3 linked regions of the Tamandua tetradactyla genome follow. The protein of the gene in region 1 interacts with the protein of each later gene in a biochemical or structural test. Links are inferred from orthologs where the notes say so. Each region holds a gene or a part of one and is shown in the gene's direction. Other genes may lie near its edges.

Evidence for each region.
Region 2: the proteins of SRF (region 1) and ELK1 form a complex in vitro, tested with the Homo sapiens proteins (2 studies listed by BioGRID). The link is inferred for Tamandua tetradactyla from reciprocal best matches to the Homo sapiens genes SRF and ELK1.
Region 3: the proteins of SRF (region 1) and MYOG form a complex in vitro, tested with the Homo sapiens proteins (2 studies listed by BioGRID and IntAct). The link is inferred for Tamandua tetradactyla from reciprocal best matches to the Homo sapiens genes SRF and MYOG.

The regions. Positions count from the first base shown.
Region 1 is NC_135331.1:100,741,398-100,751,722, forward strand, and holds the start of SRF (serum response factor), read left to right. Parts: upstream 1-6,458; 5' UTR 6,459-6,696; coding exon 6,697-7,218; intron 7,219-8,908; coding exon 8,909-9,175; intron 9,176-10,325. UniProt on the Homo sapiens protein: SRF is a transcription factor that binds to the serum response element (SRE), a short sequence of dyad symmetry located 300 bp to the 5' of the site of transcription initiation of some genes (such as FOS).
Region 2 is NC_135353.1:122,477,873-122,488,698, forward strand, and holds the start of ELK1 (ETS domain-containing protein Elk-1), read left to right. Parts: upstream 1-5,892; 5' UTR 5,893-6,105; intron 6,106-10,826. Other genes in the region: protein UXT, read left to right, coding at 4,346-4,409, 4,618-4,671. UniProt on the Homo sapiens protein: Transcription factor that binds to purine-rich DNA sequences. Forms a ternary complex with SRF and the ETS and SRF motifs of the serum response element (SRE) on the promoter region of immediate early genes such as FOS and IER2.
Region 3 is NC_135330.1:60,391,842-60,401,843, reverse strand, and holds MYOG (myogenin), read left to right. Parts: upstream 1-5,043; 5' UTR 5,044-5,081; coding exon 5,082-5,552; intron 5,553-6,337; coding exon 6,338-6,419; intron 6,420-6,972; coding exon 6,973-7,094; 3' UTR 7,095-7,708; downstream 7,709-10,002. UniProt on the Homo sapiens protein: Acts as a transcriptional activator that promotes transcription of muscle-specific target genes and plays a role in muscle differentiation, cell cycle exit and muscle atrophy.

The DNA.
Region 1 (10,325 bases):
GCACTAGTCAAAATATAAATTTTATACCAAATAAACATTTTTTGCTTTAGTCTCACATGCAAGTTGAAATTTTAAAATATTAATTACCATCTATTTTTAGCACCCTGCAGTAATGACATTCCTTTGTTCTTCCTCATACAAAAACACTTTTTAAATTTGTTCATTTAGTCACTATCATTATACACTCTAGGCATTCCTAGATTATACCATCTCAATCTTTATTTTCTGTCTTTCTTTCTGATTTCATTTATGCCCCTAGCCCTCCTCCCTCTATCATTCTCACATTCAGCTTCATTCAGTGTTCTAACATAACGCATTACAGTTAGGTAGTATTTTGCTATCCATTTCTGAATTTTTACAATCAGTGCCGTTGCAAAATCTGTATCCCTTCAGCTCCAATTACCCAATATCTTACCCTTTTTCTATCTTCTGATGGTCTCTGTTACCAACTGTAATTTTCCAACTTTATGGAATGGCCTTTAAAAAGAGAACTTATTAACTTACAAGTTTACATTTCTAAGGCCATAAAAATGTCCAAACTAAAGCATCCAGAGACAGACCTTCACTCAAGAAAGGCTGATGTCTGTCACATGGGAAGGCACATGGCTGGCATCTGCTGGTCCTTGTTCTCAGTTGTGTTGCTTCCAGCTTCTGATGCCAGTAGTTTCCTCTCTAAGCATCTGTGAGCCTTCACTTAGCTCCTCCAGGACACAACTCTGGGTTCTGTCTTGCTTAGTATCTCATGGAAAGGTACACGGTGACATCTAACTGGGCTCTGCATCTCTAAATGTCCAGTTCTAGGTATTTGCTTTCTCTGTTGGCACTCTTCACATCTCCAGGTGTCTGTATCTCTGTTGCCTCTAAGCTTTCTCCAGAATATTTCCTCTTTTAAAGGACTCCAGTAAGCTAATCAAGACCCACCTTGAATGGGTGGAGTTATATCTCCATTTAATCAAAAGGCCACATTCACAACTAGGTGTGTCACATCTCCATGGAAACAATCCAGAGTTTCCTCCCCACAATATTGAATCAGGATAAAAGAAAAATGCCTGTCCCCACAAGACTGGATCAGGAAAAAGGACATGGCTTTTCTGGGTACATACCAGCACACCAACTGACTTGGGTCTTAAGATTTTTTCTTTTTAGTTTTTTTTTTTGGTTTTTGTTTTAAGCAGTGGGGTTGGATTTGATCTAGCCACATCCTTCTAGTATGCTGTCTCCCTCAGCATGGATCAGTGAGAAGGATCTCTAAGAAAACTGATGATGGCTTGGGGTGCAAAGCTAGCAGATTCTGTAGGGGAAACCTTTCATGTGTCCCAGGTGGACTGACTTGGGGGTGGGGAGTAGTGTGGGAAGGCCGGGGAGCAAGAAGTTAATCCAAGTTCATCACTGTGACTCTGGCACTCAGCACAGCGCCAAGTGCATCATGGGGCCCCACATAGGCCATGTTTAATGAACTGAACTGAAATCAGTTTAGGTGGTCAAATAATACTATTGCCCTCCATTAAGAACCCTTGGTTATTTCACAAATGGTGTTGGGACAACTGGAAATCTATATGCAAAAGAATGAGTGTGGACATCTACCTCTCATCATATACAAAAATTAATCCAAAATGAACTAAATATAAGAGCTAATATAATAAAACTGTTACAATAAAATGAAAGACCTTCAGGACCTTGTAGTAGTTAATGGATTTTTAGATTTTACACCAAAAGCACAAGGAACAAAAGAAAAAAATAGACAAAATGGACTTCATCAAAATTAAAAACATTAAGGACATTATCAAGATAGTGAAAAGACAATCTGCAAAATGGGAGAAAATATCTGTAAACTATATGTCTGATAAGGGTTTATTTTTATTTTTAAACAGTTTTTATTATGAAATATAACATTTATACAAAAAGCAATAAAATTCAAAATACATGGTAACTTATAGAACAGATTTCAAAATATGGTATGGGTTGCCCTTCCACAATTTTAAGTTTTTCCTTCTAGCTGCTCCAAGACACTGGAGACTAAAAGAAATATTAATAAAATGATTCAGCAGGCATTCTCATTTGTTAAATCCTATCTTCTCTGTTATAACTCCTCCTTCTCCTTTGATCCTTCTCCCAATTTTTAGGATATTTGGACTCTACCCTTTCTAACTTTTCATATTGGAAAGGGGTGTTGATAATATGGGATGGGGGATAGGACTAGTAGATGTTCTTGGAGAGGTTGGCATCTCTGGTTTCAGGACTCATCTGGTCTAGGAACCCCTCTGGAGGTTGTAGGTTTCTGGAAAGTAATCTTAGTACGTGAAGCTTTTATAGAATCTCAGGTTTTACAACAAAAGTACAAGCAGCAAAAGAAAAAAATAGACAAAATGGACTTCATCAAAATTAAAAACATTAAGGACATTATTAAGATAGTGAAAAGACAACCTACAAAATGGGAGAAAATATTTGTAAACTATATATCTGATAAGGGTTTAATATACAGAACATATAAAGATCTCCTACAACAAAAAGACAATTTAAGAAAATGGATTTGAATAGACATTTCTCCAAAGGAGATATTCAAATGGCTAGCCAATAAGTAAATGAAAAGATGCTCAACATCATTAGCCATTAAAGAAACGAAAATCAGAACTACAATGAGATACCACCTAATACCCACTAAGCTGTCTATTACTAAAAATCTGAAAAAAGCAAGTATTGGTAAGAATGCAAAGAAACAGGAGCCCTCACACATTGTTTGTGGGTACGTAAGATGGTGCAGATACTGCAGAAAACAGTTTGGCAGCTCCTAAGGAAGTTAAACATAGGATTACTATATGACTAGGAACTCCATTCCAAGATGCATACCCAGAATTACAAGCAGGGACTCAGATATATACATATACCAATGTTCATAGAAGTATTATTCACAATAGCCAAAAGGTAGAAGCAACCTGAATGTCCACCAACAAAATGAATAGATAAATAAAATGTGGTACATACACACAGTGGAATATTATTCAACCAAAAAAGGAATGAAATTCTAATACACACTACAACATGATGAACACATCATAGTGAGTGAAATAACCAGACACAAAAGGACAAATATTGTATGATTTCTCTTATAAGAAATACTTAGAATAAGGAAATTCGTAGAGACAGAAAGCAGAAAATTGTTACCAGGGGTGGGGGGAGGGAGAAATGGGAAGTTATTGCTAAATGAGAAGAACGAGCTTTGGTTGGGATGATGAAAAGAGTGTGGAAATAGATAGTGGTAAAAGTTACACAGGCTTGTCAGTATACTTAAATGTCAAAGAACTGTCCTCTTATAATAGCTAAGATGATTTTTATGTTTTATATATATTTTACCACAATTAAAAATGAAGTTAGTTAAAAAAAAACCTGGGTAAGGGTTAATTCCAAATAAAAACAGTTTTAGGGTGTTGCAACAGTAATTTTTAAAAGCAGTCTTTATTTTTTGTACTGATATTATTTGGGTGATAAAAATCAGGAAAAGGAAATAAAGGCTGGGATAGGAATGGTATGGTGTGAGGGGAAAATTTCTTGTCATAGGAGCAGGCTGGAATTCTAGTGCTCAGCTGAAGGTCTTTCATGATTTGGGGTAGATGTGAACTTCCTTCAATTCCAGGGGGCTAGACGGAAATTTTACTTTGATTTAGGCCTTATCAGAGAACTCCTGAGTTGACATTCTAGAGAGGCCAAGCAGGGATCTTACTTGAGCCTTCTGAGATATGCGGGCTCAGTGGTGAACCAGAGAGCAGAGGCCTCTTCTACTGCAGCCAATTACTCCAAGTCTGAGTGTTCCTATGGCACCTATCCATAGAGTTGCCAAGAATTACAAATTTTTTAGAGAGGCTGGACATTCAGCTTTCTAAGTAAAATCTGATTTTTCATTATAATTATATGGTCCAAACAAAACACATTCTGTGAGCAGTTTTTTTTTTCACTTTATCCCCATCACCAGTTTCAGCCTTGGAAACTGCAGTGATCCAATGCAATGTGGGTGTAGGTCTCCTGTTGTGAAACAGGTTGTGAACATGAAGGAATCCCAACCAAGACTCCAAGTCAGATGAATAGGCAGTGGCATGAACGCTGGGTGAAATCAAGAGAAAGGGCAGTCTGTTTGAAGGGAAGCTGAGAACTTGCTCACCCAGGACGCCCTCCCGCGTGGAGGTGATGGAGAGCAGTTGCCCTCTAGGGTGCCTATGCTGAAGGCAGTACCCCCAAACAGCCTCTATTTATCCTAGTGGGTGTCAACTGTCCATGTGTCTAAACAAGGGGTCTCAAACCAAAAGTCTTTAGAGCCTAGGCAGGAATGCTGCTCAAACAAAACACATCCCCAAGAACCATTTATGCCCCTCCCCCCAAGAAACCCTTCTGGAACCTATTTATCTATTTGACCTGTTCTTCCTCTTGAGCTAACACTTTCCATATGTTTAACTACCTGTTGTGTAGAGTAGATTAGGAAAAAAAAAAATATATATATATATCTTTAAAACTTTAAGCATTTGGGAAATGCTCAGAGGAGAAGGGTTCCTTAATTCCAGTTATAAATAAGCCCATGTTAATAATATATGATGCATTTTATCTTACAAGTCACTTGAACATACTTTATTGTAGTAAGTCTTAGTCCTTGGATTGTGATTTATAGTAAGAAATGCAGTTGACATTGCCATCCAATACACATATTCATTGAACCATATGATAATGACAATTTTACTTATAAAATGGCAATTGCATATATTCAATGTATATTACAGCTCAGAAGTTTTTTTAATTCTTTTTTTGTCTTTTGTTTATTGTAACTTAGAAGTTTTATGCAATGACGTTACCCTTGTTTTTTGTGATGCCTGCCTGTTAATTTTTACTCTTTTAAAGGCTGTTTGCAGTGCCTTAAATTTATTTCACTACTAACGGCAGTGAAAAGTTTGAAAATTGACTAATTTTTTTATCTTCACAACTTTTTTTATTTCCCCTTTTTATTTATTTATTTATTTTCCCACAACTTTTAAAGCAGTTATCATCACACTCTCCCATCCCCTTAAACACACCAATGTTTATTCCAGGGATAAGTTACCCCAGGCAGCTCCTGTTTAGTATTCCCTGACTGCTGACTCAAGTAAGTAATAGTTTTGTTCTTAAATCTGCATAGGCACCTCATGGGATGGGTAGCATCACTGAGGAATACGGATTTTGGAGAGGTCAAATCACTTGTTTCCAGGCGCAGGACTAGGAATGGGCCCATTCCAGATCTGAATAATTTCTATTACAGCGGAGCCCAACCTATTTTCCCTACCTTGAAGCTAACTAAGATCCAGACCCAGGGATTCTTACCCTAAACCTTGGCTTTGCAGCACCACAGTTCTAAGCCTTCCCCCTCCCCCTTCTACGGACTTTCATGGCTTTTCAGAGAAGGGTGTGTGCGTGTGCGTGTGCGCGCGCGGGCTTAAACTTTTTGCCCAGCTACACTCTCTCTCAGGCCTTTGCACTGGCTGTTGGATGGGCTTTATCCTGGGAACCACCCCCTCCCCCCAACCCAGCCTGCAGCTGGGAGTCTTTACTGATGTCCGTCTCTCCTCATTGTCCCCATCAGGCACGGGAAGGCAGACTATCTCCTCCGGCTTCTTCCAGATGAACGTCTGCCAAAGACCCCCCAGTGTAGAGGATGATGAATGAGGTCTGGGGAGCCTGCCTGGTGGGAAAGTGTCGTTGCCTTGAAAACAGAGGAAAGGGAAGTCGGGGGGAGGGGAAAGGGGTTGAGCTCAGCGGCGGAGGCGCGGGAGTCTGGACACCAGAGACCTAAGCCCCCTTCGCTCGGCCAGTGACTTGCCTCCTTTAGGAAAGAGTGGGGAAGCGTTCCGATCCCTGTACTTCTTCCATGGTTTCTGGGCTGTATTTTCCCGTTTATTGCACTAACCCACAATTGACTCAGGGACTCCTTCAAGTATTTGCTTCTAGCTTTCCAGGTGCCGGGTTCCCAGAGCTGCTCCTTCTCCACAAGACTGCTCAGCTCAGTCCTCTCCCGTGTTTCCTCTCGGCCAGTCCCTCCCAATTCTCTCTACTGTTCTCCGGTTCAGGGGGGCGGAGTCGTACCTCCTCTCCTGTTCCTTTAAGAGGCGTCGGCTCCACCCCTTTCGGGATCGCCTTCTGACGCGGGATGACAGCCGCGAGTTTGGTATGTCTATGCAAATAAGCGCCCCCTGCGGGCCAATGGAGAGCGGAGGTGCCGGAACCGCGGACCAATGGGGCGGGGGCGCTGGGGCTCACCATATAAGGAGCGGCCTCGCCATAAAAGGAAACATTGTATCTCTTTATATGGGGGGAAGGGTCGGGGGATCCCTCCGCCGCCAGCGCGTGGTCCCGGCCCCCTCCACCCGCGGTCTCCGCCGCGGCCAGCAGCCCCTGCCCCCCGGGGGACGCCGACGGCCGCCGGGCGCGCCGCCCGAGCATACGGACAGGGGGCGCTGCGCGCGGCCTGGGGCAACCCGGGCCACAGGAGCAGGAAAGTGAGGGCCCAGGTCGGCCCGGGCGTGCAGGGGCCCCGGGTTCGCAGCGGCGCCGGCAGCGAAAGCCGCACTAGCAGGAGCGCGAGCACCAGGTTGAGCCGGGAAGCCGATGGCGGCGGCGGCGGCGGCGGCAGCGGCGGCTCCGATTCCTTGCTGACTGCCTGTCCGCCCTCCTGCATTGAACGCCATGTTACCGAGCCAAGCTGGGGCCGCGGCGGCGCTGGGACGGGGCTCGGCCCTGGGGGGCAGTCTGAACCGGACCCCGACGGGGCGGCCGGGCGGTGGAGGCGGCGGCGGCGGAACTCGTGGGGCTAACGGGGGCCGGGTCCCTGGGAACGGCGCGGGGCTCGGGCCCGGCCGCCTCGAGCGGGAGGCTGCAGCAGCGGCGGCAAGCACCCCGGCGCCCACCGCGGGGGCCCTCTACAGCGGCAGCGAGGGCGACTCGGAGTCGGGCGAGGAGGAGGAGCTGTGCGCCGAGCGGCGCGGCCTGAAGCGGAGCCTGAGCGAGATGGAGCTCGGCGTGGTGGTCGGCGGGCCCGAGGCGTCGGCGGCGGCCACCGGGGGTTACGGGCCGGTGACCGGCGCGGTGAGCGGGGCCAAGCCGGGTAAGAAGACCCGGGGCCGCGTGAAGATCAAGATGGAGTTCATCGACAACAAGCTGCGGCGTTACACGACCTTCAGCAAGAGGAAGACGGGCATCATGAAGAAGGTACCGGGCGGGGAAGCTGGCCGGCCACCGGGGACCCGGGAGAGGTGGGGATGAGCAGGGGAAGCCGGGGAGGAAGGCAGAGCCAAGCCGAGGTGAGAGGCGGCGAGTCCGCAGAGGTGTGTGGGAGGGGATGTTCTTACCCCGGGTGGGTGAAAGGGGAGGGGCCGCCAGGGAAATGTGGGGAGAGGGGAGATGCGGCGAACGTCCGGGAAAGAAGGGAAAGGCGCCGAGGTGGGAGTGACCGGCGCGAGAGAGGAAGAGGGCCCTCGTGGAGTGAAGGGGTGAGGAAGCGGTACTGAGAGGCTGCGAGCCTGCCGGGGAGGTGGATACTGAGCAGCCAGGTCTGTAGGTCCAGTGAACGCTGGTGCTGGGAGTGGGCGTTGGTAAGGCAGGGAAGTGGGAGTGAGCACGAGCGAAGCCGGGGAGCAGAAGAAAAGGTGGAGAGGTTTGGAAACTGGAGCTGGGAGGGAAGCAGTAATAGAAATGAGCAAATCTATGTGGGAGGAAGGTGGGCACCACTGAAGTAGTGTTGACTGGAGGGACAGGCATCGCTGGGACCCAGTGGGGCTCAAGAGCCCCAGGTAAGGGGGCAGGGCAAGAAAACTGATGCTGTCTTGAGCAGCAGAGACCAAGCCAAGCAATGGCCATGTGTCTTCCATTGCCATCACTGAAAGCTGGCATGCTCCTGGTGGGACAGGCTGTGGAACTGCTTACCTTTGGGACAAGTGGGGTTTCCAGCCCTAGGGAGAATCTGTGCATGGAGTTTGGGGGAATTTACAGAAGTACCTAGAAATTCAACCAGTGAAAGGGGTGAGGAGAGGACTCATCTTGGGGTGTAGAAGACAAGGGAAGGGATGGAACCAGAAAAACTGGGAGATTAGAAACTAGAACCTTGGACATTGGCGAGTGTTTATATTTTTCCTATACAGAAAACACCTGAGCTGCTCCCATGGTGGGGGGAGGTATGGAATTTTGTTGGGAGTGAGGATTGCATCTATGGGGCCACACTTGAAGGCTCCCCTGCCTGGGTTCATAGTGGGGTCTTCCCACTGTCTTCCATCACTCCAGACACTGCTGTATCAGTGTCTCTTGTCACTTGATCATCAGTAGAGAAGGTTAGGGAGGGGGATGCCCACGAAGGAAAGCTCAGACGCAAGACTGTCTTTTCCTTACATACTTATACTTCCTCTCTAAGACTAAGCAAGGAAAAAGGGTAGCGCAGTATTATAGAGCAGAACAAGTGAGGCCATGTCAACAGGTTACACCTGGGTAGTTTCTGGGAAGAAACTCGGGGAGCTTAGGTGGCCCTTATGCCTAATGGCTTGTGTGATTTCCATTGTGGTGGGGATACCATCCTAGTCCGTGACAGTGAGGAGGGCATGGGAACCGTCTCTCTATAAGGCTTAGGGCACTAAGCTTTAGTGAGAAGCAGTTAATTGGGCCCCTTCATGTCTACAGAGGTCCCCCATCATCAGGGGGCCATAGCTATTTCCTTAGGATATCTACAAGTTGATGGTTCTGTTCCTCAGAGGATGTCATCTTCTGATATCCACATAGGACCCCCTAGAGTTAGAGGAGTGGAAGGTCATTATGGTAGGGGGCTCGAGGTCACTGTGGTCTTCCTCTCTTTCCTACTTCTCAAGGAAGTTAGAGATGAAAAATTTTGCTGACCTGCCCATCTCCCCCCTAGGCCTATGAGCTGTCTACGCTGACAGGGACACAGGTGCTGTTGCTGGTGGCCAGTGAGACAGGCCATGTGTATACCTTTGCCACCCGCAAACTGCAGCCCATGATCACCAGTGAGACGGGCAAGGCGCTGATTCAGACCTGCCTCAACTCGCCAGACTCTCCACCCCGCTCCGACCCCACAACAGACCAGAGAATGAGTGCCACAGGCTTTGAAGAGACAGACCTCACCTACCAGGTGTCGGAGTCTGACAGCAGTGGGGAGACCAAGGTGTGTTTGGGGTCCCTATCCAAGGAGGGAGGGATGGGAAGGGACTTGTGGCACAGAGAGGGGAAAGAGGGGAGGGTGTCCCTCTCCCAACCTTGCCCAGGACAGGTGCATAGGTGCCCACAGCTGTGGAGTAGAGCCTGGTTAGTGACCCTCATTCTGAGGGACAGGTGTCCATCCTTGCTATCCTGACAGGAGGCTGGCCGCCTAGATAAGCGGGTGGCCTCCGTGCCCATATAAGGCCGGCTCCGGCTCCACGCCGGCCTCCCGCCCGGAGCCCGCCTGCCTGGCAGGGCCCTTGCATTCCTCCCGCCAGCTGTCTCCCTGCCGGGGGCGGGGAAGTAGCTTAGCCCTGCCCTGCAGCCCTGGGCCACTAGAGAGTAAGAAGGGAGCCCTCCCAGGTCCCAGGGTCCTGGGAACCCAGCTCTGTCGGCAGGCCGGCTAGCTGGCTGTGCTGGAGACTACTATACTAGCCAGCCGCCTACCTTCTTAGGATGTCCGGGCCTGGGTATGTAAAGGGAGTATATTCGCCCACTGCCAGGGATGCGGGCCTTAGTTACACGCCTCCCCCCTTCCTTTTCCTGGTAAGGAGAGGGGGCAGGGCTTCCTCCCTTGCTCATCTTGGGAAGCTCCACCTTCCGGGTGTCCTTAACTAACTGGCCAATCAAAGGAAGCGGCACTGTTTGCCTTAGCAACGCCTCCGCCAATCAGGGCTTCAAGCCCAGTTGCTTAGCAAACATCCCGTACTGTCCCACCCCCAAACCCCTGTCTTTGAGCCCCTAGTCACTCGTCGCAGTTCTCCGCTCTTGCGGCTTCCTCCTTCCCCTTCTCAGAACAAAGGCTCCCTAAGGGGTGAGGCAGTACCCAAGGCTTCCCCCGCCTTAGTGGCATATCATCTGTAATAATTTTCAACCCTTGTTAGCAGTGGACTTCATTTATTCCCAGGACACTGTGTTGGATGAATGAGGTTCTTTGGTTGTTTGAATCTTTAGTGTTTGGCATAAAATACTTCATTGCCACACCCCCAAGATCTCTCTCCAACCCCAAGTCCCTGAAAAACTCTCAATCCTCATGTCAGAAGTCTGGCAAATCAGAGTGGGAAGGACCCTTTTGAAGAGACCATCCTGCCCAGCCTCCTCGTGTTTATGGAAGA
Region 2 (10,826 bases), on another chromosome or scaffold:
TCTTGAATAACAAGGTGATATCTACTTAATGTGTAAGAATAAACTCCAGGATAACCTCTCGACAATGTTTGGAATCTCTCAGCCATTGACACTTTGTCTCATTTCACTCTTCCCCCTTTTGGTCGAGAAGGTTTTCTCAATCCCTTGATGCTGAATCTCAGCTCATTCTAGGGTTTTTCTCAATCCCTTGATGCTGAGTCTCAGCTCATTCTAGGATTTCTGTCTCACATTGCCAGGAAGGTAGGACCATTATTTTTAAGTCTTTGTCTAGAATGTCCTAGGTCTGATCCTCTTCACTGATGGTTTCTAATGCTTTAATCTTCTCCTTTGCCTAAGCCATTGCTTCCTGTTTCTCTGTATGTTTGACAATCATTTGTTGAAACCTGCATGATCCTGCCCTTCCCTCCCTCCTAGACCTTATCTTGAATGTACCACTTTCCTTCTACCATTCACTTAATCCCTAACACTCTGGCCTCCTGCCTGTTTCTCAAAAAAACTCTTTCCTGCCTCTTGGCCTTTTTGTGGAAAAGTCCCTCCCACTGTTTAACTCTTACTCATTCTCAGTTCTTACTCATTCTTCATTTTCAGAAAGACCTTCTTTCACCCTTTCTATCAATTAGAATTATTTTGGGTAAGTCGTTATCCAAACTAGCTTAAACATAAGGAATTTACTGGTTTATGTAACTCAGTAGTCCAGGATCAGAGCAATTCCAGGCACTACTTGATCCGAGGCTCAAATGATTTGATCAGGACCCACTTTCTACCCTTTTCTCCTACCACAATATTTATTAGACCTCTGCTGTTTTTCTCTCAGAGAACACAATGCTTGTTCATCATAGCACTTATAGCATTTGTTTAGTTGCCTTATTTCTCTCTCCCCCAGGGGACAATAGACTCTTAAAAGAGCTATTGTTTCCTTTGTTTTGTTCACTCCCCATATATCCACATGCAATTTTCTTTCTCATCAACTATGCCTTATACACTAGGAGCTCAGTGTGTTTCAGTGATCTAAAAAAAAAGGCTCTGAAATAGTCATGGCAGACAAGTTGGCCAGAGAAAGGAGTAAGTGGCAGCACTGAGGGCCCCATGGAGGTTGGTGAATTTAGGATGCATGATTTACAAACTTTTGGATCTCTGAGAGTTAGGAGTACATTTTAACAAGGTCCTGGATGATTCTATTTAATGATTCTTGATCCATACTTTTAGAAATCCTATGAAATGATACCCAGCTGCAGCTCTCTGTCACTTTTTTAACTAGGAAGATCTGTTGATTCTTTTTTCTTCAATGATTTTTTACTGAGATATAATCATCTAAAGTGTACAATCAGTGGTTCACAGTATCATCATAAAGCTGTGCATTCATCATTACAATAGATTTTTGAACATTTTTATTAACTCCAAAAACAATAAAAATAAAAGTAAAAAAGTATACCCAGGGCAGGCCACGATAGCTTAACAGGCAGAGTTCTTGCCTGCCATGCTGGAGACCTGGGTTTGATTCCTGGGGCCTGCCTATGCAAAAAAAGAAAAAAAAAACTATACCCAAAACATCCCATACCTCCCATGTCTTTTTTTTTTTCTTACTCACCTGTCCATACACTGGATGAAGGGAGTGTCAGTCACATGGTTTTCACACTCACACGTTCACACCTTAAAAGCTCTATAGTTATTCAGTCATCTTCAGGAATCAAGGCTATTGGATTACAGTTCAACAGTTTCAGGTATTTCCTTCTAGCTACTCCAATACACCAAAAACTGAAATGGGGTATCTATATACTACATAAGAATAACCTTCAGAAAGACCTCTCAACTCTATTTGAAATCTCTCAGCCATTGAAACTTTATTTTGTTTCATTCCTCTTCCCCCTTTTAGTCGAGAAAGCTTTCTTACTCTCATGATTCCTGGGCCAGGCTTATGTTCAGGAGTCATGTCCCATGTTGCCAGGAGATTTACACCCTTGGGAGTCTTACATAGCAGGGAGGGCAGTGAGTTTACCTGCAAAGTTGGTTTAGAGAGATGCCACATCTGAGCAACAAAAGTGATTCTCTGAGGGTGACTCTTAGACAAAATCATAAGTAAGCTTAGCTTCTCCTTTGCAGGAAAAAGTTTCATAAGAGCAAGCCCCAAGATCAAGGACTTGTCCCATCAAATTGGCAGTCCCCAATATTTGCGAGAATATCAGGTCTTCCCCTGGTGGAGAAGTTTAATATTTCCACCTTTTCCCCAGTCCCTCAAGAGGAGTGTGCCAATACTTTTTAATCTTTTGCCCAACTTACTCTGGGGTTATCGGGGCATCACACCAACCTGTACAAACCAACAAGATCTCACTCCCTATTCATGGTTCCATATAATTATGGTGTTCAAATAAGCTAACCGTACAAGTTATATTAGATAGTGTCTCTGTCAGTTTTTTAAAGAGCAACCTGCTAACCCTGTTCCTGGCACACAGTTGGTGAATAGTTTGGGTCGTGCAGTGTTAGGGGATGGTCACAGGTCAGAGAGGAAAGAAAACTAAAGGTATTGCCGCGATTGTGATAATATGATAGGCAGTGGACTCTAAACTGAAGACGGAAATGCTAGTAGGAGGACTTGGAGATTAAGGTGGAAGTGGAAGAGCGGAAGGATCTAGAAGTTGCCAAAACGAGTTGCCTGGGTAGTGCTTTTGAACTGGCTGCCACCATGAGTGGCATTGGAAATCAGGCTGTTGAATACATTTCTTTTAGAAGAACAGTTTTTCAGGATAATGTTACCTTTAGTCATCAGTTTAAGGTCTTTGAGAGGTATCTCAAATTTAATATGTACAAAGGAAATTTTATGATCTTCCTTTCCTCCCCACTAACTTGTATGCCGTCTTCCCCTTGTCAGTCTATGACAACACCAGATTCCCAGTTGCTTGGCCTTGGCATCCTCCTTGAGTCCTCTCACATCTGATATCCAACCCTTTTTCAAAATATATCCTAAATCCAATAATTTCTAATCACCTCAACTGCTACCACTGTGGTCTGAGCCTCCATCATCTCTCACCTGGACTTTTGCAACAGCCTCATCACTGGACTTCATGCTTCCACATTTTCTCCCCTTACCCCCAATTAATCCTTCTCACAGCAGCCAGATGGATTCTCTTAAAACCCAAGTCAGTTCACAGCCTTCCTCTGCTCAAAACTTTTCTATGGCTCCTATCTCACAATAAAAGCTGGAGTCTCGGGCCAGCCACGGTGGCTCAGCAGGCAAGAATGCTCGCCTGCCATGCCAGAGGACCCAGGTTCCATTCCTGATGCCTGCCCATGTAAAAAAAAAAAAAAAAAGCTAGAGTCTCTACTATGGCCTTGTAGGTTTTATACAACCTGCCTCCCATCCTTAACCTCTTTGACCTCACCTCTTACTACAGTCCCCCTTTGCTTATTCTTTTCCAGCCATGCTGGCCTCTTTGCTGTGACTCAGACATACCAGGTACACCTCAGCACCCTTTGCTATCCCTTCTGTTTAGAACACTCATCCTCCAGGTAGCCACGTAATTAACTTCTCCCCTTCCTTTAAGTCTTTGCTCAGATGCTTCTCAGTGAATCCATTTCTGGGCATTCTATTTTAAATTGTAGACCCTACTCCTGCACTCCTTAACCTTCCTCATTGTTTGTTTGTTTATTTTTTTGGCATGGGCAGGCTCCAGGAATAGAACCCAGGTCTCTAGCACGGCAGGAGAGCCATTGTTTAAATCTTTTAATTGCACTTATATCCATTTGACATACTGTATATATTTTTTCATTTATTTTATTTATTAAATGTACCAACATACAAACACATTCTTAACATATGATCATTCCATTCTATATATATAATCAGTAATTCACAATATCATCACATAGTTGTATATCCATCATCATGATCATTTCTTAAAACATTTGCATCAATTCAGAAAAAGAAAAAGAAAACAGAAAGAAATTCATATATACCATACCTCTTACCCCTCCCTTTCATTGATCACTAGCGTTTCAATCTGCTAAATTTATTTTAACATTTGTTCCCCCATTATTTATTTATTTTTAATCCATATGTATACTGTATATTTTATTCCATCATTTATCTATCTGTGTCTCATAATAAGAATGTGAGTTCCACAAGGCCAGGATTTTTGTTGTGTTCACTGTTGACCCCCAATGCCTAGAACTGCCTGACATACAGCAGGCACTCAGTAAATGTCTTTTGAATCAGTGAAGTCCAGGTGGCTGCCAGGCCTGGTGACCTGTGAAAGTTATCCAGGTTATAGGTAGTTCTTAAAGTGAAGAAGAGTCATCCTCATAATCTCATGTGGGGCCCACTTCGCCCTTTCTTGTTTCCCTTCTCCAGGCTCAGCGACAGCCTCACCAGGGACTCCATGAATATCAAGGCCCATATCCACATGTTGCTAGAGGTGAGAGCAGCTCACAGACTCTATCTCCAAATGTGTTTAGGGTGATGACCTGAGGAAGGGAGAGAACCTGAGAAGGGAAGAACCATCTTTTCACCTGAGCTGGAGCCAAGCTGAAGCTTGGCTGACTCCAAGGGTAGAGAGGTCACAGCAACCCTGGGGTGGGGCCTGGACCCAGTGTCTGTTCAAACTCTTCTGTCCTCTTTTTTAGGGGCTTAGAGAGCTACAAGGCCTGCAGAATTTCCCAGAGATGCCTCATTACTGACTTCCTGCCCTCCTTCTCCGACATTAAAGAGCCTGAATGCCTTTGAGTTCCATGGCCCTTCTTTTTCTCCTTAACCCCTACTGGTTGCCAAGGTGCCGTTTCTAGAGCACACTGTTACTAGGAGGCTCGGAGCTCCAATCTCCATATGGAAGGTATAAAGCATCCCAGAAGTCCCGCCTCCAGCCTGTTGCCTGGCAACCTTTACCACTTGCCTCAATTCTCTGCCCGGTTGCCTGGCAGCGTTTACCACTGGCCTTTATACTCTGCCCTCTCTTCTGTAGTCTTGACAACCTGGACCCCCCACCTCACCCTTCCTTCCATTCCTTTTATTCCATTCCTTTTCCTGGAAACCACCCTTTGAGTTTCCACAGAGAATGAGCCAGTTCAGGGTGAAGATTTGGTACCAACACAGTCACCCTTTCACTCCTGGCGCTAAGGCTTACCCCTGCCCTGCGCCGTAGTCGTTCCGCAAATACCCTAATTATGCCCTAGTTCCTCTCGGCCCAACCTCGGCCTCACCCCTACTTCTTAATGGTTCAAGCTTCTGCCAATAGGTGCAGAGTTGGGTCCCGCCCTTCCCCAGCCCTGCGCGGGCCTCTAAGCTAAGATGAGTCCAGCTTCCGCCAATCAGAGTAGAGCCAGGTTCCTCCCCTTTGTAATTCTGGCCGCGGCTCGACCCTGCCCTCTTCGTAGGCATTTGATTTCCTCCACTCAGCGCTTCTCGTGTCTAGCAGCCGTACCGCCCTCCTACTTCCGCTCCAATCTAAATTAGTATTTTCTAGCCAGTCCTCAGAGTTACGCTGGCCGCCAGGTCCACTGCTACTCCCACTTCTATAGAAGTCCGGCTTCCGCTGAGCAGCGTGGAGTGCGGCACTGCCCCCTTGATGTTTTGGCAGCTGTCTAGGAGACACTTTTCCGCCAATCAGCAAAGGGTAGGGCCCACCCTCTTCTCCGAGGCTGGCTATCTCTTCCATCAATCCTATTTAGGCCAATCCGTGCAGGCAGAAGCCCCCAGACCCTTGTCAGCCGCCCACTGTCTATCAGTCCTTGAGCCAATCAGCACAGGGCATCTGTGGGGCTGGGTTCGCTCCCCCGCCCCGACCCTCGGGCGGCCATCCGCGTTCCAACAGTTCCGCTTGGGCCAATCAAGGCACAGCTCTGAGGCTGTGGGGCCCGCCCCTCACTCCCACCTCCCGAAATCGCACGTTTGATCTGTGCTGCTTGGGCCAACCAGCGAGTGGCAGGACGCTTGTCTCCGCCCCCATGGGCCCACGTGAGCGGTAGGGAAACGCAAGGGCGGCTTGTGGGTGCCGCCGCCGCCGCAACCGCCGCCGCCGCCTCAGAGCCGAGCCTGGGGGGCGGTGGGGCCGCGCATGGAGCCCCCGCCCCCCGGAGCTGCCAACACTGCCCACGCCGCTGCACCGCTCTGCACAGGTGAGCCCTGGGCCTGGAGGGTGGGGGCCCGCGTCCGTGACCCCTTGTATCCTTCCCGCCCCCGCGTGGGGCGATGTGGCTTGGCCCATCGCCTACTGGTATTCGACTCCCCACAGTACCGCCACCGCTGGTGGAACTGCCCGTGGCATTGTCCCCTCCCTTCGCCCCTTGTAGTATATCTGAGTGTGGTCTATCCCCCGCTCCCGTTTTGTAATGGATCAGCCTGCGTGCTTGAATTTTTCCCCATCCCAACTTACAGTGGACCCGTCCATGTTCTAGCCCCCATCCCCACTTATTAGGGATCAGTCTGTGGCACTGTCGGACCCCTTTTATATATAGGTGAGTCTGGGTGCTTGTATTTTTCTGTCCGCAACTTTCAAGGGACCCGTCTGTGGCCTTGTTTGTTCTACCCCTCCTCTTCCTTGTAGTGAATTAATCCGTGGCGTTGTACCCTCACCCCTCTTGAATAGTCTGTCAGTTTATATTCCTTTCTCCTCCAGTCCCCAAGTGCAGCGGTCCATGACTTTATCTGCCGTCCTCCCTCTCCCCCCACCCACCCCATTTTATAGTGGATCAGTTACATCCCCCTAGTCATCAGTCCGTTGCCCTGTCTCTCCTCCCTTTTCTGTACACTGTCAATTCGTGGGTTTCTCCTATCCTTTTAATTCTGAATCAGTCTAGTGCTTTGTATCTCCCCACTTCCAGGAGCGCAGGCCATAGCCTTGTGCTTATCTCCTTTTATCAGTCTGTGTGATGGCTTTTCTTCCCCTCCACTGTAGTGTATCAGTTAGTGAGCTTTTCTGCTGCCCTATTTGCCAGTAGGTGAGTTCATGGCCTTACTCCCCATCCCCTCTTTGTAGTGGATCTGTCCAATGGCCTTCCTGCTACCTGTGTGCTTACATTCACGTCCCTACCCCCACTTGCCCATCTATGAATCCAATGCTTTTATATTCCCCCTCCTTTCCTTGTGGTGCCTCAGTCCATGCCCTGCCCCCCCCCCCCTTCAATAATAGTGGATAAGTCTGTGTGATTGTTGAACCTAGGTCTTTTTTACTCTGGAACACACCCCCTCACACTCTTAACCACCAAGACATTCTTCCTTACTAAAATAAATGAATACATTAGTGATAATGATAATAATGCTAGTAGGAGCTAAAATTTATCAAGCACCTAGTATGTAAGGCATGCTTTTTCAGTGTTTTATATTAATGAACTCATTTAATCCTCACCACAACCCTATGAGATAGGTATTATCATTTTCCCCATTTCACGGATGGAAAACTGAGGCATGGGGAGGTTAGATACCTTACTCAAAGGTAATCTCAGAAAGAACCAGGTTAGGTTGCCCCTTAGGGCACAGGATAATATTTGAGGCTCCCCTCTGTCACTTCATCAAACCCCGCATAAGCCCCACTCCGTTAAAATCAAATTAGTTCTTATCTCCAAGCTTTTATTCTTGCAATTCCCTCTGCCTGCAGAGATGTCTCCATTCCACACCTTGTCCCAGCACCCACCCATCCCCAGTCCTACAGCAACTGTGACCTTAGATTAGTAAATTAACTGTCTTCTCTCTGTGCCTGTTTTCTCTCTTCCAAGATGGGGAGAATAGGGTGAGAACCCCATCACCCCACCCCTGCCCAGTATTTATAAAGAATACCTGAGTTAGTAACAATAAAATAAGTTACCTCTCTGACCTCACCTCCTAGACCTCCACCCCCTCACTAACTCTGCCCCAGTCACACTGGCCTCCTCATGATTCTCCAATACACCAAGCCTTGGGGCCTTTGCACTGACTTTTCTTTCTTCCAAGAACACTCTACCCCCAGATATCTGCATGGTTGTCTTTACAGCTCTGTTAAAATGTCAGCCTCTCAATGAGGTCCTCCCACCATCTTGTTTAAAAGAGATCCCTGGACCCACACACCCAGCAGTACTCAGGCCTCTTCCCTGCTGTATTTGTCTCTGCCTTTTGTCACACTCTTGACACATTGCATAATTTACCAGTTCACTATCCTTTCTGTCTGTCTCTCCCCATTAGAATGGGAGTCCCATGGGGTTTATAGTTTTTGTCTGCTTATTCACTGCTGTGTCTCCAGCACCTAAAAATGTACATGGCATGTAGTAGGTGCTCAATAAGAATTTATTATGGGAATGAATGGAAAAATAATTTCAGACAAATCAGGGTGGGAGACAGATGGAGATGAAGAGGGGACATGAGAGCTAGTTAAGAGGCTAGTTAGCTGGATCTGTTCATTCAACAAACATTTACTGAGTACCAGATGCTCTTCTAGGTGCTGAGAATTTGGGAGGGAACAAAACAGACAGATATCTCTGCCCTTGTGCAGCAGCCATTTATTGAGGGAGACAGCCTATATAAATAAAACTGTAAATAAAATTAGATGGTATTTTAGAGAAGTATGAAGAGAAGAAAGGAAGGTAGACATTGAGTATTGGGGTGTTTGAAATGTTAAGGTGGAGCAGCTAGAAGGAAAAATCTGAGATAATGGAATGGTAGCCCATGACAAACTCTGGGATCTGTTCTGTAACTACTTGTAGAAGAGTGCTTTGAAAATTATTGCTTTTTTCTTTCTTTGCTTTGTAAATATGTTATATTTGCGATTTTTAAAAAACATTAAAAAGAAAAGAAATCTTAGGGTGGCCAGGGCAGCCTCATTTGGAAGGTGACTTTTGAATTAAGGCCTGGATCAGGAGGTGACAGAGAGAACCAAAATGTCTAGGGGAATACTGTACAAAAGAGCGAACAGCCAGTGCAAAGTCCCTGGCTAGTGCGTGGCATGTTCAAGGAGCATCAAGGAGGCCAGGACAGATGGAGTGGAATGAGCGAAGGGGATAAGGGTAGGAGGTGATGTCACATTGGTGACAGAAGCCAGATGGTGTGGGCGGGGGAAGGGGGAGCTGTTTGGGGAGGGAGAAGATTGACATACTAGCTAATAGCTAACATTTGTTGAGTATCTACCATGTGCCATAGATACTTTTTCAAGTCGTTTATGTGTGCTTTCTAAATCCTCACAAGGAATTAAATATCTAAATCCTTGACACATTTAATCCTCACAAAAACCTTTGAGGGTAGTTGTGTTTTTGAGCATATTTTACTTTTTGAGAGAAAAAGACCCCCATTTTACAGCTCAGGAAACACAGAGAGGTTGAGTAATTTGTTCAAGGTCACACAGCTAGAACAGGACCAAGGAGTATGATGTTGAAGATCCAGAGAGAAAGAAGTAGTTTTGCAAGGGCAGATGGGTTATTCGGCACATTGGATCATGCAGAGGAAGAATGAATTCTGTCTAGAGAGGAAACAGAACTTGATGATTGTGTAATAAAGGGTTCTTCAGGTACAGGACAGAAAAAGGACACCCCTGGCAGGGAGAACAGCACATGTGTATCCTCAGATGTGAGAAGTCTCCTGGTGCATTAGGGGAACTGTGAATAGTTAAGGGTAGCCATGATATAGCATGTGAAGCTTGTGCCCACCTCAGAGCCTTTGTACATGCTGTTGCACCTTCCTGAAGCACCTTTCCCACAGACAACATGGCTTGCTACTTCCTCCCCTTCGGGTCACTGTTCACTGTCACCTGTTCAGGGAAGGCAACCCCATTACTCTCTGGGATCTTACCCTTCTGTTATTTTCTTCAGAGAGAGCTAGTGTTGTAAGGTGGTTAGGATCACTAATTGAAGCCAAACCTCCTGGGTTTGAATCCCAGCTCTGCTGTCTTCCAGCTCTGTGACCTTGGGCAAGTTACTTATCTTCTCTGTGCTTCCATGTTCTCACCTTAAAAATGGAGAGAATACTGATGATACCCACCCTATAGTGTTGGTTTGAAGATTAAATGAAGAAAAGAATTCAAATGATAGGTAATGCATAGAAAGGGCTATGTGTCTGGTTGCTATTTTTAAAACTAATATTCTTCATAGCATATACATAAATGTCTAACAGGCCTCTGAAACTGGCCATCTCCAAAACTGGCCTCCCGATCTCCCCCTTACAACCTGCTCTCCCATAGTGTTCCCCATCTCAGTTGATCACAGCTCCATCCTTCCAGGTGATCAGGCCAAAAACATAGAGTCACCCTTGATTTCTCTTTCTCTTATCTGTCAACAAATCTTGCTGGCCCTTTCTTCAGATGTTATCCAGAATTCATCCACTTCTCACGAGTTCTGCTTCTACCGCCATCATCATTCACTTGGACTGTTACAGTAGCCTCTTCAGCCCCTACAGTCTGCTCTCCTCACACGAGCCAGAGGGATCCGATTAAACTCCAAGTCACAGCCTGTCACCCCTCTGTTTTCAACCCTCCCCTGGCTCCTCTCTCATTCAGAGTAAACGCTAAAGTCCTTACAGTGCTTGGAAAAGCCTTCCTCAGTCTGACCTATTACCTCTCTGTTCTCATCTCCTACTACTTTTGCCCTCCTTCATCTCACTCTAACTGCACTGAACTCTCCTCCTCTAACATGCCAGGCACTCTCCAGCCTCAGGGCCACTTACACTGGCTGTTCCCTCTGTCTGATCACTGTTCCCCAGATGTTCACACACCTGACTCTTTCACCTCTTTGAGGGCTTTGCTCAAATGTTCCCTCCTTGGGGAACATTTTGTAATTTAAAAAAAAACTTTTTTTTTTACAAAACATTTAATTTTAATTATATTTAAATTATATGTTTGTAATTTTGAAAATGTTTAATGTGGTAACATATATATAAAACA
Region 3 (10,002 bases), on another chromosome or scaffold:
AAATGGGCCATTTGGATCATTCAGTCCAGCATTGTGATTTACAGATGGAGAAATTGAGGCCCAGAGAGGAGAAATGACTGGCCCAAGGTTCCACAGCAACATGCCCTGCCTCCTGGTTCCTACAGCCACTTTTCCTTAACTTCCCAAGAGTAGCTGCCTTAACCAGAAGCTGCTCAAAGGAATGTGGAATGGTCCTAAGGAATCCTCACTGGCATTTCCCAAGTCCCCACTAGATCCAGGCCCCCAAGTCATACTGTGGCAACAAGCTCGCTGGAGCCCTAATCTGTTATTTCTAAAACTAGCTCTCTGTTTTGTCTTCACTGGCCACCTCCCTGTGACCCCTTATCCCCACTGACCCATCCTCTTCCGCCTCCAGGCTGGCTCCTTCCACCCCAAGGCCAGAGATTCCTGATGAATGAGCCGGATTCTGAGCTCCAGATTCCTGGAAGGGATGGGATTTCCCAGTGGTTATCTGATGCTTGGTCTTCAATGGAAACAATGTGTGGCCTCTGGAGGACTGGGGCCCTTCCCTCTGCTGCACCTCTCAGCCCTGGTTTCCATCTGCCTCTAAGCCAAACCTCTCCTCCTGTCTCAAAGACCTCAGGCTTCCCTGGGCCTCTCCAGCCAACTCTGTCATACCTGTCTTGTGTCTTCTTTGCATCTCTTCATCACTATTTCACCCAGCTGTCTCCCTGAGCTCTCCATTTTAGCCTAGAGTATGTCCAATCCATTTGCTGCCTGTCTACCTGTGGCCCACAGGCCCACCTGGAAAGTATGTACTCACACGTAGCCACCTTCTTCACTCCACCGCCTCAGAGAGGGAGAGGAAACACTGGATTCAACCCTCACGCCTAACCGCAGACAGTCCAAGAGCTGACACCCTTCACATATTTGACACTAGCTCTCTGCACCCGTGGGTAAGTCACTTCCCTTCCCCAGGCCTCAGTTTCACCCAGAAGAAGGTGAACTAGCTGATCCTTAAGCAGCTTTCCAGCTGTGGCATCCTACGATGGTGCGACCAGTTTTCACTCTCCTACAAAGCTACTGTCCCACACGCACACACACAAAATGAGTATTGATTTGCATGCCATGGTTCATGTATCTAGATCCTGTTGAAATGCACAAGCATTCCTGCCACTTAACCCCCACTTAATTCTCATCAGTAATACGGAGAACCAGCCTAGGAAACAAGAAGTGGAGCCTGTTTGGAAAAGCCAGAGGTTCCCATCCTTCCAGACACTTCTCATCTCCCTCCTCTATTTCTAACCACATGAGACCCTGGGATGGGAAACTTGCTTTGATTTCAGCCAAGCAACCTGGCAGCCCAGTTCAGCCCACCTGCCAGTCAGCAGGAGCTGGAAGATGCTGGAGGTCGGAGAGCTGGGACTGGGTGTGCAGCCGAGGGGGAAAGAAGAAGCAGGGAGCAGGTGAGGGGGATTTCTGAGCACTGTGAAACCTAACCGCTACCATGCAAAAGAGATCAGCCCAGCATGCAAATAGAATCAAGTTGAGACAGTCAGGGTAGGGGAGCAAAGAGCCCGAACCTGAAGCCCAGCTTCAGGATTATGGGCAGAGACTTCTTCTGGAGGCCTGCTGGAAAAGGAGGCTCCGGGGGCGGGGGTGGAGCCTGTGTGTCCGAGCAGCAGGGGTGGGGATTAGGGCTGGATGCCCTGCTGTCAGGTTCGGGCTGATGGATCTCCGCTGGTGGCAGAGCACAAAGGCTGTTTTGTGCTTGGCACCAATGTGTTCCCATCCATCAGAGGGCAGCCTGTGTGGGATGGTGGGATGTGCAGGAGGAGGAAGGCTAGGCTTCTAGAAGCTTCCCCACAGCTCATCTCTGAAAGAGGAAAATGGTTGTCAATCCCTCCCATTAGGTTTGGAGAGGTCAGAGATACCTGGGTGCCCTGTATTCCCAAACCCAGGTGCTTCTGTTTCCCATACCTGGGCCCTGAAATAGTCCCCAAGACACGCTACTCAGACAACACGAACACATCTACAGACAGGCATTCGTCGAAACCCAGACACATGAGGTCACCTTAACCTCCCAGCCTGCATTACATGTGGGCAGAGGCAAACATAGACACAAGGCCAGCCTGTCACCATGGTGACCCAAACACCCAACTCAAGGTGCTCAACATATCTCCTTGGAAGGGAGGGGAGGGGAGGGAGGAATGAATCCATATCCAGGCTGGCGTCAGGTATTCCATTCCTGCTGTTCTTATATCCTGGAGGCAAAGGAGGACAGGCAGGAAAACAGCCGGAGGGGGAGGACCACGAGGCTTGGGGGTGCATCATGAGTGAAGGAGAGGACAAAGCAAAGAAAGGGACTAATATTTCTTGGGTGTCCCCATGTGCCAGGTGCCACTTCATTTAATACTCACAAACAACCATTCCTCTAGGAGACACACATGCACCATCCTTTTTGCCAGCCTGACACATGCGTCCTCCTGGGGTCCAAGAATCCATCCTCCTGCCTCTGAGAAGGCTGTTGAGACCTTCATCTCCTCACACCTGGATTCCTGTCATAGTCTTCTTGTGGGCTCTTGCCTCAGCATTCCAATCCCTCCATGCTGGTCAGGCCTCCACCCATCTTGGTGGGCTTGTCACCAATCACCCACTTACGTGAACCCTGAGCACCACCCAAACCAGTCTACCCAATGTCCCTTCACCCTCCTCCTCTCTTCCCATCCCAATCCTGCCTGTCCTCCAACACATGGTCCGACAGTTTCCTCCTCAGCTCTTCCAGAAAGACCCCAGCCTTCGGTGGATTCGTCTGTCTACAAACTCCCGAAATACTCTTTCGATGAACCCACTTATTTACAACTGATCGTCACTCTCATGTTTACTGCTGAATTAAGATAGCTCTTTCTTATACTGTAACTTAGCTTTCACACTGGTGTCCGTGCTCACCCACTAGATGGTAAAATACAGGAAATCATCACAGAACAAGCCCATTTCTCCTGCTTCCATTTTTATAGAGAGTGGACACATTGTTTAGAGATAAGTTAGATCAGATCCCAAAAGGACAAAAAGATGCAATATCTGAGTTTCCAGGGTAGCTCTGACACCATTCCTTTTCTCAGGGCTCACAGGATTAGAGTGGAAACTGAGGCAAGGTGTTTTTGTCTTTTTTTAATTTCTTATTTTTGCATGGGGTTGTTTTGGGAGTAGACATTCTTCCTTCTTCAGCCCAGCTGATTGGGGTCAGAGCAGGTTTAGTACTCCTTGCCTCCATGCCAACCCTTTTTATGATGCTGGTAAAGCTAAGAACCAAATTAGGACCTCACTACTCCCCCTCACATATACTTTGTTTTCCTTCTGTGTCCCCCATCCCATCTCTGTCTCCTACCCCAAAAGGACACCCACATTTTCCTGGCCCTCATCACGGATAACAGGAGGGAGGAAGGAAAGCCAGTTGTTTTGAGCCCCGTTCAGATCTCCCTTTCCCTGTGACGTCTTCCCCGCACCCCTGCCAGCGTTCCTCTCCCACTTACTGTCTGTCTTATCCATCACAGGCAGGAGGCAACACACTTAGTCTGTGGGGTCCTAGAGAGAAGAACTGGGACCAAAGGGAAAGAGATCCAGGGGACAAATTTTAGTTCAAAACCCAGGACTCGCTGGATTGGAGCTGCACACCTCTGGGTCAGGCTGCCTTGTGAGGTCAGCAGAAGCTGAAGAGGGATTCGGGCGTCAGGGCTTGGGTAGAACGAGGGGGCCGTGATGGTCTGCTAGATGGTAAGGTCTCTGAGGGTGGGGAGCTGCCTTGGGTTTTCCTGTAATCCCTCAGTGCTGAGACTGAGCCTCACTCATGGCCAGTCTCGGAGGCCTGCCCACTGTATCGGGAGGAATTGTCCTTTCAGACTCCGAGGCCTCTACTGAGAGTGACCACAGACTGAGAAGTCCAAAGATGCAGCAGCCCCTCCCCCCACCTGACATCTGAGAACCTGTGCGTGATACCTGTGAACAGAGGGCAGGGGCAGGAAGGAAGAGGCAGAACAACCCAGCCGGGTGGTCAAGGGGAGCAGAGAATTAACCTGGCTCTGAAGGTCCCTGCTTTCTCTCTTCTTCACACCCATCTCCAGTAAGGAGTCAGGAAAAGTCCGGCATCCTGATGGGGCAGGAAATAGAGTTGGCCAGGCAACACAGGATAGATAAATGGTCCCAAGTGAGGGAGAGAGGACACTTAAAGTTGAATAGATCTTGACCTTACCACTGCGAAGTAGGTGGCAACGTGTAAGCTGTAAACTCTAATCCCTGCTCTGACCCTGACCAGCTGTATTAAAAGGAAAGCTTCCCTGACCCCTGCCAAAACACCCAAACAACAACACAAAGAATCCGCTTGCGTCAGTTTACTCCCAATCACATGAGACCTAAGAAAACAAATGATGTCAAGGCTACTTGGAAACCCAGAAACTGAATCCATTTGTTCCTCTGAATTTCAATCCTTCTTATTCTTGGACAGTGAATATCCACACATACCCCAAATTTGAAGCAGTCTGGTTCTTTGAGGAAGAAGTTTCTAAGAGCCTCACTGACTGACACGGTCTGCCTACGGTGCTGTCAGGAAGCAGGGGAATGGATAAATTGACTTCCTAAATCCCCCTCCAGTCTGAACCCACATCTTCCTTGCCCCCACCCCAAAACCCCGCCCTCATCTTTGGGACCAGCAAGGACAGGGCAGGCAGGCCGCCCGGCTCCAGTAATTGAAAGGAGCAGATGAGAGGAGAATGTGTGTCCTCCCCCACCTCTCCTGCCCCATGGGGGCTGCCGAGAAATGAAAACTAATCAAATTACACCCGACGGCCTCCCTGCCCGTGCACAGGAGCCGGCCTGGGCCAGGGGCAGGCTGGCCACGTGGGGTGGGGGCCGTTGGGGGAGAGGGAAGGGGAATCACATCTAATCCACTGTAAACGTCTTGATGTGCAGCAACAGCTTAGAGGGGGGCTCAGGTTTCTGTGGCGTTGGCTATATTTATCTCTGGTTCCATGCCAGCAGGGAGGGTTTAAATGGCACCCAGCAGTTGGCGTGAGGGGCTGCAGGAGCTTGGGGGCTGGTGGCAGGAACAAGTCTTTTCCGACCCCATGGAGCTATATGAGACATCCCCATACTTCTACCAGGAGCCCCGCTTCTATGACGGGGAAAACTACCTGCCGGTCCACCTCCAGGGCTTCGAGACACCAGGCTACGAGCGGACTGAGCTCGGCCTGAGCCCCGAGGCCCAAGGGCCCCTAGAAGACAAGGGGCTAGGGACCCCGGAGCACTGCCCAGGCCAGTGCCTGCCATGGGCGTGCAAGGTGTGTAAGAGGAAGTCGGTGTCGGTGGACCGGCGGCGAGCGGCCACGCTGAGGGAGAAACGCAGGCTCAAGAAGGTGAACGAGGCCTTCGAGGCCCTGAAGAGGAGCACCTTGCTCAACCCCAACCAGCGGCTGCCCAAGGTGGAAATCCTGCGCAGCGCCATCCAGTACATCGAGCGCCTGCAGGCCCTGCTCAGCTCCCTCAACCAGGAAGAGCGCGACCTCCGCTACCGAGGCGGGGGTGGGCCCCAGCCAGGGGTAAGTGGCCACCCCGCCCACCGGTCCTGGGGGAACAGGGTCAGACGGAGGCCCCGGGCAGCCTCCAGACAGCGTGGGGTGGGGATGGCGGTTGGTGCAGGTGCCAGGCCCAGGCCTTCGGGCGGGGGCAGGGCGGGGAGAGGCGCTGCAGGACCCCTTCTTTTGTCAGAGCTGGTCTGTCCAGCTGACCTTCTGTGTCCTCATGTACTTGTCAGACAAGTTAAAGGCAGTGGGGAGAAGGTACCGATGTGAGGGGTGGGGCACAGGCTGTCGGAGGGCTCCAGAAACAGGTCCACAGCCACCCTGCGTGGGGGTGAGGGCTAATCCGAGTGCCTAGACGCAGGACCTAGAAGGCAAGGCCAAGGTACACCAGAGAAGACTGCTTTGTCCCCCACCCCAGCCCTACCCTGCGAGTGGCTGAGCAGACAGAAAACCTACTCAGTCTCAGGCTTGTGCAGAAATGGCCTCGGTTGGGCCAAACACACTGTCTTTATGCTGAGAGGAATGAACATCAGGGACCCCTTTAAGCTAAGTGACCTCTGAGGGGGAAATCACCACCCAGGATCAAGGCCACGGAAGGTCTGGAAGCAGGAGCTGGGTAGGAGAGGGTGAAAGGAGCTGGTGGTGAAGACTCTGGCGTGGAGGTGTGGCCTGGGCTGGAGGACCATGGCCCTTAGCCCATCCTCCAGCTCCACCACAGGCACTTCTACCCATTTGGGATTGGGCAGAGGAAGCCCTCTAAGAATGGCCGTGCCCTGACCTTGGGCCTTTACCCTATCTTGCAGGTGTCCAGTGAATGCAGCTCCCACAGCGCCTCCTGCAGTCCAGAGTGGGGCAGCGCACTGGAGTTTGGCCCCACCCCTGGGGGTAAGTCGGCCTGGGTCCTGGTAGCCTTGGCTCAACTCCCTCGGCCCCTCCCTAGGCCCAGTTCTCCCCTCTTACCAGATTTCCTGCTCCAGCCCTCTTCCCTTGGCCTCTCCAAGGACTTGCAGAACCCAGTGCCCCAAAAGATGGGCTAAAAAGGAGTGGTCTAGGCCTCCTATAGTTTCCCAGCTAGTGCCTGGTGACTGACCTTCTCTGCAGAGAGGAGACTGTCCCTGCCTCAGGGGTCCCTGGGAATTGCTGAGTCAGTGCTGCATAGCTGGGCCCAGCAAAGGGCAGCTCCAGTCTCCAATGATACACCATCTGGGCTCCACCTCAGAACTGCTGTTTCCAAATCCTAACCCTACTAGGGGAGCTCAGGGAGCAGACAAACACACTCACAGCAATTGGGAAAGGCATGGCCTGGGAAGGAGAGCTCCCGAGTTCTGCTCACACATCTGTCCTGGAGAAACGTGACACGCCCAAAGGGGCCCATCCTCCACTCTAGGCTCAAGACCCCCTTGAACCCCTGTGTCACACCCTCCCCACCTTCTTGCAGACCACCTCCTTGCTGCTGACCCCGCGGACACCCACAGTCTGCACTCACTCACCTCCATCGCCGACAGCATCACAGTGGAGGATGTCTCCGTGGCCTTCCCAGATGAAACCATGCCCAATTGAGATTGTCTGCCAGGCCAGGCTTGGGAGCCCCCCAAGCTGGTCACAGTTGCCTCCACTTCTACAGCAGGGACCTCTACTAAGCCAGGCTGTTCTGAAGCCAGGAAGCCAGCCTGGGACTGCCACATGCCAGGCTCTCCTCCTCCTCCTTTATACAAGGTTAACTCACCAGCCAGCGGGGACCTGAATTCCCTCACTTAGCTGACTCCTTAGAGCAGAGGGCATCCGTTTCCAGGGAGATAAAGCAGGGGACCAGAGCGCCCCCTCACGTATGCCCCCTAGGGCAAGGGGCAAACTCAGGAGCTTCCCTCTTATCATAATGCAGACTCCAACTCCCATTCCCCCAAAGAAGTATTTTAAGACACAAAGATAGTGTCCTGGCCTGGACGGGCTGTGCACATCTCCTGTTTTTGTCTCTTCCTGATGCCAGTGGCTGGGCTGGGCCTGCCCTGAACCGAGGGAGAAGAGGAGGCACAGCCTCTGTCCAAGGGTCCAAGCTTTTGCAGTGAATATTGGGAACCTTCCAGTGGTTTTATGTTTTGTTTTGTTTTGTTTCGTGTGTTGTTTGTAAAGCTGCCATCTGACCAAGGTCTCCTGTGCTCAAGTGGCCAGGGACAGGCAGGGAAGGGAGGGAGGGTGGTTTTGGGGGGTGATTTCTTTTGTTAACTAAACATTGTGTGGTTTTGCCATTGTTTTGTACCTTTTTTTTTTTTTTTTGCTAACTTATTTGGATTTCCTTTTTTAAAAAATGAATAAAGACTGGTTGCTAGAAGAGTGTCAATGATGCAGAGGGAGGGGGATGACTGGGCACGCCTGCCCCCTTCCTACTTGGTGACCCAGACACACCGTAAGGGCAGGGCTTCCAAGGGTTGGAGTGACAGAAGCACTGGAGAGATGCCAACACTCTAGAAGCTCTGGAGGCACCACCCTGCTGATGGGCACTGGGGGCTGAGGACCCCTCCTCTTTCTACCATTGTAAAGGAAGCTGGGTCTGGTCCAGAGGCTGGGGGGAAGACTGGACTTCACAGAGTTCCTCGCGGGACACTCTGCTGAGCAGTTGGATGCACTTAAAGTCATAGACATTGTTCCCAGTCTACTGCCTGCCAGTGTACAGCCCAATAGGTCTATTCGGTTTCAATCAGTTGAGCATGCTCATATGCCCAGTGCTCAGCCCACAGCCAGGTGGCAGCGCTGGAGAGTTGAAATTTGTGGATTTCACCTCCCTAATCCTGCCTCTCCTCTGGTGCTACACGACATCCTGTAGCCAGGCATGGTTAAATTAGGAGTATGGATGTCAGATACTAGACACGCCATAGCAGACTGACTAGCTGGCCCCTTTACACTTCTCCATCCCCGCCAGGATGAAGGAGATTCTGGTCCCCGCCAACCATTCAGAGAATGAAGGCAACCAGGGGAAGGGGCAGGGGCTCGAAAGGTCAAAGGAAAAGAAGTTGGGATGGGGGAGGTCTCTTCATTGGAGGTGCTGTTTTTTTCTGTTTGTCTTTTTCAAACACTGGCTTTCTGAAGGAATAAGTTATGTGGGGGATAGAGATCAAAGATTTTGGATACATTAGGATTAACTACAGAGCTAGGTGCTACAACTTCAAGGGATCATGAACTTCTACAAACACTACTAATTCCAAAAGCTTCTGGCTAAGTTTGTCAGATTTATTGCAAATGACGAGTTTCAGAAACATGACAGAAGTCTTGGGATTCAGAGCACGACACAGCATAGTCCCATTCGATTCCTTAGGGCCCTCTGACAACTGCTTTAACAACTGACATACCCCAGATTTATCCGTCAGCCTCCAGTGACCATTCTGCTCTTGTTCTGGGCTCTGCTGGCCGCTTCCCCCTCCTCCGCCCTCCTGACCTTGATTTTGAAGAGTGATGTCAATACCCGGGACCCAGAGTCTCCCCAGAAACTACCTAAGAAAGAGTAAGAAGCAAGCCTCAGAGCAGCCTCACAGAACCCGGGTCAGGGTGCAGAAGGGAGGGTCTCCCCCAGGACCCACTTACCCCAAACAACAAGTCGGAGCTGGGCGTTTTGGGGACTCTGAACCCCCTCCACCCCCCCAGCCCCAAATCACCAACTAGCCTCATCAGCCCTCATTTGTGGGACTTTCTTCTTCTTAAGTCGCTTCCATGATGCTTAACTTTCTCTGACTCGCTGACCTTGGGGATGGGGGAGGGCAGCAGCCTGGCCCCAAGGCTTTGGCTCTAGAATCTACATTCACTCCCTTATTAACCAACCAAATATGGAAATAGACATTCAAAAGGGATCTTCTCCCCTCGGGCTCATTTCCTTTGCCTCTGACACTTCCCAAATTTAGGGTGGCTACAATCCTGCCACTCCCTTGCCCTCCTCTTGGAAGGGTGGCAGTGGAGGGCAGCTCGAAAACAGCACTCAACTCTACCAAACAGCTCATAACCTCTGCGACTGCAGAACATATATATATATATTCAGGTTATACTTCTTAAGTTATCATGTCACTTGGAAACTGAGCTTCATTTTGATACTCTGAAAAGAATGAACAGTCCTTAGCAATGGCTATCAGAATCAATAGTTCCCTGCCATTATCGAGTACAGCCACTGTCTACTTACTTTTTTCATAGTCCTTAACCATCCTTCCACCCACTCCGCCATCCCCCACCTCCCGAGAAACAATCTGCTGGAATTCCAGAAGTGTGAATGGCAAACTTTGCCAAGTAAGAGCTCAGCCCCGCTCATTACTTTCAAGGAATAAACAACTGTCATCAGAGAACAGGGACTCTCTTAAATCGACAGATGCTTAGACTTCACAAGAGATTTACAGATAGGACTCCAATTAATGAATAATAAATTGTAGTTCTTTAGGGAAATTAGTTTAAATTTGGTCTTCAGTGGAAGCACCTACACTTGATTTATTAA